Sus scrofa: one gene and its partner. The protein of the gene in region 2 purifies or fractionates together with the protein of the main gene of each other region. This does not show direct contact. Links are inferred from orthologs where the notes say so. Each region holds a gene or a part of one and is shown on either strand. Other genes may lie near its edges.

The links. Proteins that work in one complex are often made in the same cells at the same time.
Region 1: the proteins of HDAC1 (region 2) and BRMS1 purify together in Homo sapiens (affinity purification with mass spectrometry; 7 studies listed by BioGRID and IntAct, counting the BioPlex papers as one, with this or other methods). This does not show direct contact. The link is inferred for Sus scrofa from reciprocal best matches to the Homo sapiens genes HDAC1 and BRMS1.

The regions. Positions count from the first base shown.
Region 1 is NC_010444.4:6,044,731-6,048,478, reverse strand, and holds the start of BRMS1 (breast cancer metastasis-suppressor 1), read right to left. Parts: upstream 2,403-3,748; 5' UTR 2,252-2,402; intron 1-2,251. UniProt on the Homo sapiens protein: Transcriptional repressor. Down-regulates transcription activation by NF-kappa-B by promoting the deacetylation of RELA at 'Lys-310'. Promotes HDAC1 binding to promoter regions.
Region 2 is NC_010448.4:88,766,473-88,770,120, reverse strand, and holds part of HDAC1 (histone deacetylase 1), read right to left. Parts: intron 1,883-3,648; coding exon 1,765-1,882; intron 1-1,764. UniProt on the Homo sapiens protein: Histone deacetylase that catalyzes the deacetylation of lysine residues on the N-terminal part of the core histones (H2A, H2B, H3 and H4).

The sequences.
Region 1 (3,748 bases), on a different chromosome or scaffold from region 2:
TGCTGGATCCTTAACCCACTGAGCGAGACCAGGGATTGAACCCGAAACCTCATGGTTCCCAGTCAGATTCCTTTCTGCTGCGCCACGACGGGAACTCCTGTGCTATTCTTCTGCCTACACCGCCCTCCACTTCTCTTCCTGAGAACACTCTACGATGCTTGTGTTCTCACTGGGCTCAAATCCTATCTCCTGCTTCCTTCATGATCTCATGTCCTCAGTGCTGCCCTCTCCCTTATGCATCTTCAACTCTCGCTCCTGACAGCTCCTCCCAGAGAACGTCAGACGTGCTCAGGTATCTACCACCAGAGAGAGAAAGCAGAAACACAAAACCTCACCCCACCCCACTGCTCGCCGTTTTCCACCTCATGGCTACTTTTCAAGGCCTTGTGGACACTTGCTATTCCTACTCGCCCACCTCCCACTTGTTCTGTTCCTGTATCATCACTCTCAGCTGAAGCCCATCCTGTAGAGTTAACTGACGAACTCCTCGTACCTAATGCCAGTATTTTTTGGTGCTTATCTTAGGTTGACTTCTCAGCAAACTGAACAGTCTTAAGCATTCCTTCTTTTAGTCACTCATTTAATATTTACTGAAGATCTAATACATGCTAGGTAGCAGCAGACACTATGGTAGGAGCTGGGCACAGGTGCGACAGTCTCTGACCTCAAGGAGTTTACAAGTTCCTGGGACAGAAAGGCTAAGAAACAGACTGTTGCTGTGGGGTGAGAAGAGTTAAGACCAGGGGCTTACGGGAGAGGCATCTAACTGGGACCTGGAGCCTGCTGCAGCAGTGAGGGCCTGCAGAGGAAGATGGGCCAGACAGATGAGCTGAGCTGGTCAAGAGAGGGTGCATTCTAAGTAGAGTGAGTAGCAGGTGCAAACACCCCAAGAGGAGAGAAGGGGGCAGGGCTGGGGGTCCATGGGTCTAAGCCTCACAGAGAAATGTGGGCTGCAGAGATCTGGTCATCACATCGTGAGTTCTTCAGGCCTTGGGAGAGGGTGCAACCAGCAAGGCAGAATGTGTGGAGTGAGAAGGAGTTCATGATGGAACTTCTAGGGTCATCAAAGGGGCAGATGACAAGATGCCAGGAAAGGAGAAGGAAATTAGCAAGAGACAGAGGAGGAAAAAGTCAGAGTATAGGGGGAGAGAGAGAATTTCAGAATGAAGGAGATGAGACAGTGCCAAATGCTGCCAAAAGATCGCCCAAGAGGAAGACTAAACAGTCTCAATAGATCATTTCTGACTAAAGGGGTTTCTACTTCACCGGATGTTTTCCTCTGGGTACTTTGTAGTCCTTCAGATCCGCGTAGATGCCCCTCCTTATTTATTTCCACGTCTGTTGCCCATCCTCATGCCTGTCTGTGAGCCTCCCCAGGGCAGGGCTGCACACGCGCTTTACCCACCCCGCGCAGTACTGACTCACTAGACCACTGGAGGATTTGCGAATGCAAATTAAACAAAACACATTTTTGCAGGGCAGGAAATGGCTTTCTTAGTAGCCCCTGGTCCCTACAGTGGTAGCAAACCCAAAGTGTTTTGTCACCTTTCCTTGACATCAGTTTGAGTAAACTGACTGGCCTAGAGGGCCGTTTCAAAGCATTCCTCAAGGATTTCACAAATGATCTGAACCTGAGCTGAAAACCTCGGTTCTCCAAATCAGCCTCCTCTTTCCCTTTTTCAAGCCTCAGTTCCTGGAGTTCCCAAACTTTGCAATTTCTCTTCACTGTTAAATATATTTTAACAACTCGGGGTAAGTCCCACCTTTCTGGACCAGAGAGGGCGGGGCTTGGGGGGAGGTCTCTCTCCACCAGTCTCTGGGTCTACTGAGAGAGCCAAATTAAATCACATCCTCCCCACTTTAGCCCGGGTACAAAATGAGGATAACCATCACTACTCTGGGTGTTGTAAAGATGGCAAGAGGTAAGGGATCGAAAAGCAAACTATAAGGTGCTGTGCACATGCAATTTATCTTTTCAGAAAGCGAGCATGTCAAGGGCACGCCTCGTAGGAAGGAAGATTCTTCCCCACCCTCGAAGAAGCCGACCCAGTCCCTCCACGGCGCACCCAGAGCCTCGCGCCCCGCTCCATCTCCGTACGCGGCGGAGCGGGCGGGAGAGTCACTGGCTCCTCGGTCCCGCGGCCCCAGCTCGCGTCCGGGCGGTTAAGTCTCGCTACCGCCCTGGATATTGGGCAGGCTCCGACTGCCTGTCCGAAAGGGCAAACCAGGCGCCAGGGTTGGCGTTACGCACCCGTAGGTAGTGGCGCTTCCAGCCTCACGTCTTAGATTCCCCAAGAGGTGCCGGAGGTTATCGGTACTGGCTGCCGCTGTGGGGGTCCCGGAAGCGCCGCACCGGTCCCTCTTCTCCGGGGGCGGGGCCTACCCGCGCTTTCCGCATGCGTCATCAGGAGGCGCCCATCGGAGTGCTCACAATTGGATAGCTGGGGCGAGGCATGCTGGGATACCGCGGGACGGTTTCCATGGCAACGGACCGACATTCACACAGGCTTTCAGCATGCAGGAAAGGCCCTTGTGCCTTCCTAGCTTTGCAGCCCTCGCGTCTGGGTCCACAGTCACCTCCCGGCGGCGCGAAAGGGGAGAACCTGCGACCCGCGGCCCCCACCCCCGCCCGGTTCCGGAGAGTAATGGAGCCAGCTGTAGGTGTGAACACTCATTTATTTACACATTGTAGTCGGTAGGCAAATCACCCAGCCCAGGCTATTCAAGGGTACAGATCTCAGACGCACAGAACCTGCAGATCCTTCCCTTCTCTAGAGCCCCCGGGACGGAGGCCTAAGACACCAGGAAGTTTCGGCTTCTGCCCAAAAGCTAAGAACTAAATTCAACGCCTTCATCTGATTTCTTTCCAAAAAGCCCATTTTGTTAACTACTCAGACTTCTCAGCTCTGCCCCCATTCATACTTTTTGCTCTCCTACTGCTCACCCACCCAAGATTGTTAATAATAATAACAATAATAATAACAACAATAATAATACTGTAATAATATTAATAATACTTCACATTTGTACGAAGCTTACAGAATGTTTTCACATATAGCATCTCATCTGAGCCTCCCAGCAGTTCTGTGAGGTAGGTATTCTCACCTCCCTTTTACAGACGGGGTAACTGAGGCTCAGAGAGAGAACGGGATTTGCTCAAGGCCACACAGCTAGTTAGTGGTTAAGCTAGGACTTGATCCCAGCACCCCATATTCAAGTCCAGTGTTCAAACACCACAGCTACCACTGTAAAGTGGAGTGACGTTTCTTACCCCAGTCAGGCCTGAGGGGCGGCCTAAGGAGGGAGGAGGCTGAGACTTCTCAGACTAGGGGAAGGAAGGGCTCAGCAGTGACGTGGGGAGTCGGGGTACTTGGCCTTCAACTCCTGCTTGAACTGACGGTAAAGGATCTTATTGTGCTGATTTTCGGCCTCCTTTTGGGGGTGGAATTTCAAAGCTTCTTTGAAGCCTTTATGAACCAGGAAACCTTCGTTCAGCACCTCAAAATCGAATCCTGCCACGTGCAACTCACAAGCCTGTGGAGGGAGAAATAGGTCAGCAAAGTTTGATGAGGTTCCCAGGCCAGAGACGGACATCACTGCTCACTCCAGCATGCCCATTCCTCTGGAGGCATCCTGGATCTTTCAGCCATCCAGCCACCTCCTAAACTATGATCCCTCCTGCCTCACTGGCTCCTTTCCATCCAGGGCCACCCACAGCTCCCTGATTTCACCATCCCTCCTGCCCCAT
Region 2 (3,648 bases):
TAATATGTCGTCTGCCTTGACAGACTGAAAATAACAAAAGCAGTAAGTCATAAGAGCAAAAGCTACTATTCACTGACAGTTGGTGTTTTAAATATATTATCTTACGTATCCCCTCAACCTCCATTATGCAATAGGCACTCCTGTCTTCCTTTTATTTTTATTTATTTTTGAGCCACCCCTGTGGGATGTGGAAGTTTCCAGGCCAAGGATGGAACCCATACCACAGCAGGGACAACACTGGATCCTTAACTCACTGAGTCATAAAAGAACTCCCTTGACTTTTTTTTTTTCTTTTTTAGCCACCCTGAGGTGTACAGAGTTCCCAGGCCAGGGATCAGATCTGAGCCATAGTTGCGACCTATGCTATAGCTGTGGCAACGCCGGATCCTTAACCCATTGTGCCAGGAGGGGATCAAACCTGCGTCCCAGCATTCCCGAGACATCGCCAATCCTGCTGTGCCACAGCAGGAAAGACAAGGCTCAGAGAGGCTAAGGGGCTTAATCAGGAACACAAATCTAAGTGGTAGTGCAGGATTCAAATCAAGACACCAAATCTCATTCTCTTGCTTCAGTATCAAGCTGCTTCTCTAATGAGAGCCCTCTCTGCTAAGAGTGGAGCCTGATCACTAGCCTATATAAGTTTAGGGCCTAAAGTCCCTAAAGCAAAGGAATTTCTCACCCTAGAAGGAAATAAGACCCTGCCAATTCAGGGAGTAAATATCTCACTTAGATGGGACAGCAGCTCCTGGAGTTGTAGGGAGCAAAGAAACTTAATGCTTCAAAAAAGATTTCTATGGTTCTGTAGTCATTACCACTGCATACTTATTGTAAACAAATAACTTTCTGCCTTGGGAATCAGACTACCTTGTGGCCAATAGCAACAAAACAAGTGCCACCAAGTTGCTGATATTTGGAATAAGTTATCATAAACTAATCAAAACCACCTCTGGATAATATTGTTACACTGTTTTATTTATTTATTTTATTTTTGTCTTTTTAGGGCCGGACCTGAGGCATATGGAGGTTCCCAGGCTGGGGGGCGAATTGGAACTGCAGTTGCTGGCCTACACCACAGCCACAGCAATGCCAGATTGGAGTCGTGTCTATGACCTACACCACAGCTCAGGGCAATGCTGGAGCCTTACCCTACTGAGTGAGGCCAGGGATCAAACCCAAGTCCTCACGGATTCTAGTCAGATTTGTTGCCACTAAGCCAGGACAGGAACTCCTCTTCCCAAATTTGAACATATTCTACCCCTACAGCTAAAATAATCCCCATAATTGCTCTAAACTGAGTTAGGCTTCTGTGATGAGACCTGCTCTGAGTTTCAAGGCCCAGGGGGCAGGGGCAGAATCAAAGATTATATCATCTAGAGTCTGTCCTAATACTAACAAAGTGAGAGCAATTGAATGGAATGACCTCCAGCCCATTTTACAAAAGAAAAATCTGAGGGGAAGTCAGAGCTGGGACCTACATCGCCTGTGTTTACCTCCCAAGTGGGTGCTTTCTCCATTACAATAATTACAGTTTTGGGGGGACAGTGTTAGTGACCCTAAATGGACAAAGTTCAATCTCTTCCTTATAATCAGAAAACAAAGAAAACCAGACGTGAGAAAAAAGAAGCGCTCTGGCACCCTTAGGAAGCCGTGGAAATCAGGTACCAGCTAAATGGGGGGTACAAGGGAAGGTCAGGTAAGCCTCTCTGACTGAAAAGGAAATCCACCTGCAGGCTTGAGAGCAGGGAGGGAACGGAACGGACTTACATCTCTGCATTTGCTTGCTGTACTCAGACATGTTATCTGGGCGGATGGAGCGCAGGAATTTAATGTAGTCATCACTGTGGTACTTGGTCATCTCCTCAGCATTGGCCTTGTGAGGGCGCTAGAGCACACAGGGGGAAAAAAGCATGTTATTCTTGACCGCTGCCACCTTCACTCAGCGTTGAGCTACCCTGCCTGCACCTGGTAAAAAGAAACTGCTAGTTAGATTCAGGCCTCAAGAAATTTACAATCTGGTTAAACAAGTGAGATTATCAAAGGAGGAGTTCCCCTCGTGGCACAGCAGAAACGAATCTGACTAGGAACCATGAGGTTGCAGGTTTGATCCCCGGACTCACTCAGTGGGTTAAGGATCCAGCGTTGCCATGAGCTGTGGTGTAGGTCCCAGACTTGGCTCAGATCCCGCATTGCTGTGCCTCTGGCATAGGCCAGCAGCTGTAGTTCCAATTTGTACCCTAGCCTGGGAACCTCCATATGCCTTGCATGCAGTCCGAGAAAGCAAAAACAAAACAAAACAAAAAAATCAATAAATGAAAATAAAAAACTGTTTCAAGGAAGTTCCCTCGTGGTAGAGCAGGTTAAGGATCTGGTGTTGCCACAGTTGTGGCACAGGTTGCAACAGCAGCACGGGTTCAGCCCCCACAAAAAAAAAAAAAGGAAGAAAGAAAGAAAAAGGTTGTTTTAGGTGGGTTTTTTTTTGGTCTTTATAGGGCTGCACCCACAGCATATGGAAGTTCCCAGGCTAGGGGTCTCCCACTGGCCTACGCCAGAGCCACATCTTCAACCTACACCACAGCTCATGGCAATGCCAGATCCTTAACCCACTGAGTGAGACCAGGGATGGAAACTGCGTCCTCATGGATATTGGTCAGATTCATTTCCACTGAGCCAGGACAGGAACTCCTGTTTTGAGGTTTTGTATTTGTTTTTTTTGTTTTGCTTTTTTTGTTTTGTTTTGTTTTGTTTTGCTTTTTGTTTTGCTTTATTCGAGGCATGTGGAGATTCCCAGGCTGGGACTGAATCAAAATTACAGCTGCTGGCTACAACCACAGCCACAGCCACAGCCACACCAGATGTGAGCTGCGTCTGCAACCTATACCACAGCTCATGGCAACACTGGATCCTTAACCCACTGATTGAGCCCAGGGATCGAACCCCCAACCTCATGATCTCTATAGTCATATTCATTTCTGCTGCGCCACAACAGGAACTCCCTGTTGTAAGGGTTTTGTTTGTTTGTTTGTTTTGTCTTTTTGTCCTTTTTTTTAGGGCCAAACCTGCGGCATATGGAGGTTCCCAGGCTAGGGGTCTAATTGGAGCTGTAGCCGCTGGCCTACACCACAGCCACAGCAACGCTAGATCCAAGCCAACTCTGCAACCGACACCAGAGCTCACGGCAATGCTGGGTCCTTAACCCACTGAGTGAGGCCAGGGATCAAACCCACAACCTCATGGTTCCTAGTCAGATTTGTTTCCACTGTGCCATGACAGGAACTCCCCTGTTTTAAGTTTTTAATTGTGGTAGCAAGTCTATCTCTTGAGCCTCAATTTTCTCATTTACTAAATAGTGGTAGCAATATTTTCCTCACAGGGAAGTTGTGAGAATTGAATGAGACTGTAAAATCTCTTTATAAATTGGAAAGGGCCTTATAAATGATTACTTTTTAATATGAAATATAACAGTACATAATTATAACCCAAATGGCTCTAACAAGGAAGAAAGGATGACTAGTAATAACTGAAATAAATGGGAAATCCTTTATAAATCATCATCATACCAACAATTCCTTTTTCTTTCTTTGCTTTTTAGGGCCGCACCCATGGCATATGGAGGTTCCTAGGCTAGGGGACAAATCGGAGCTGCAGCTG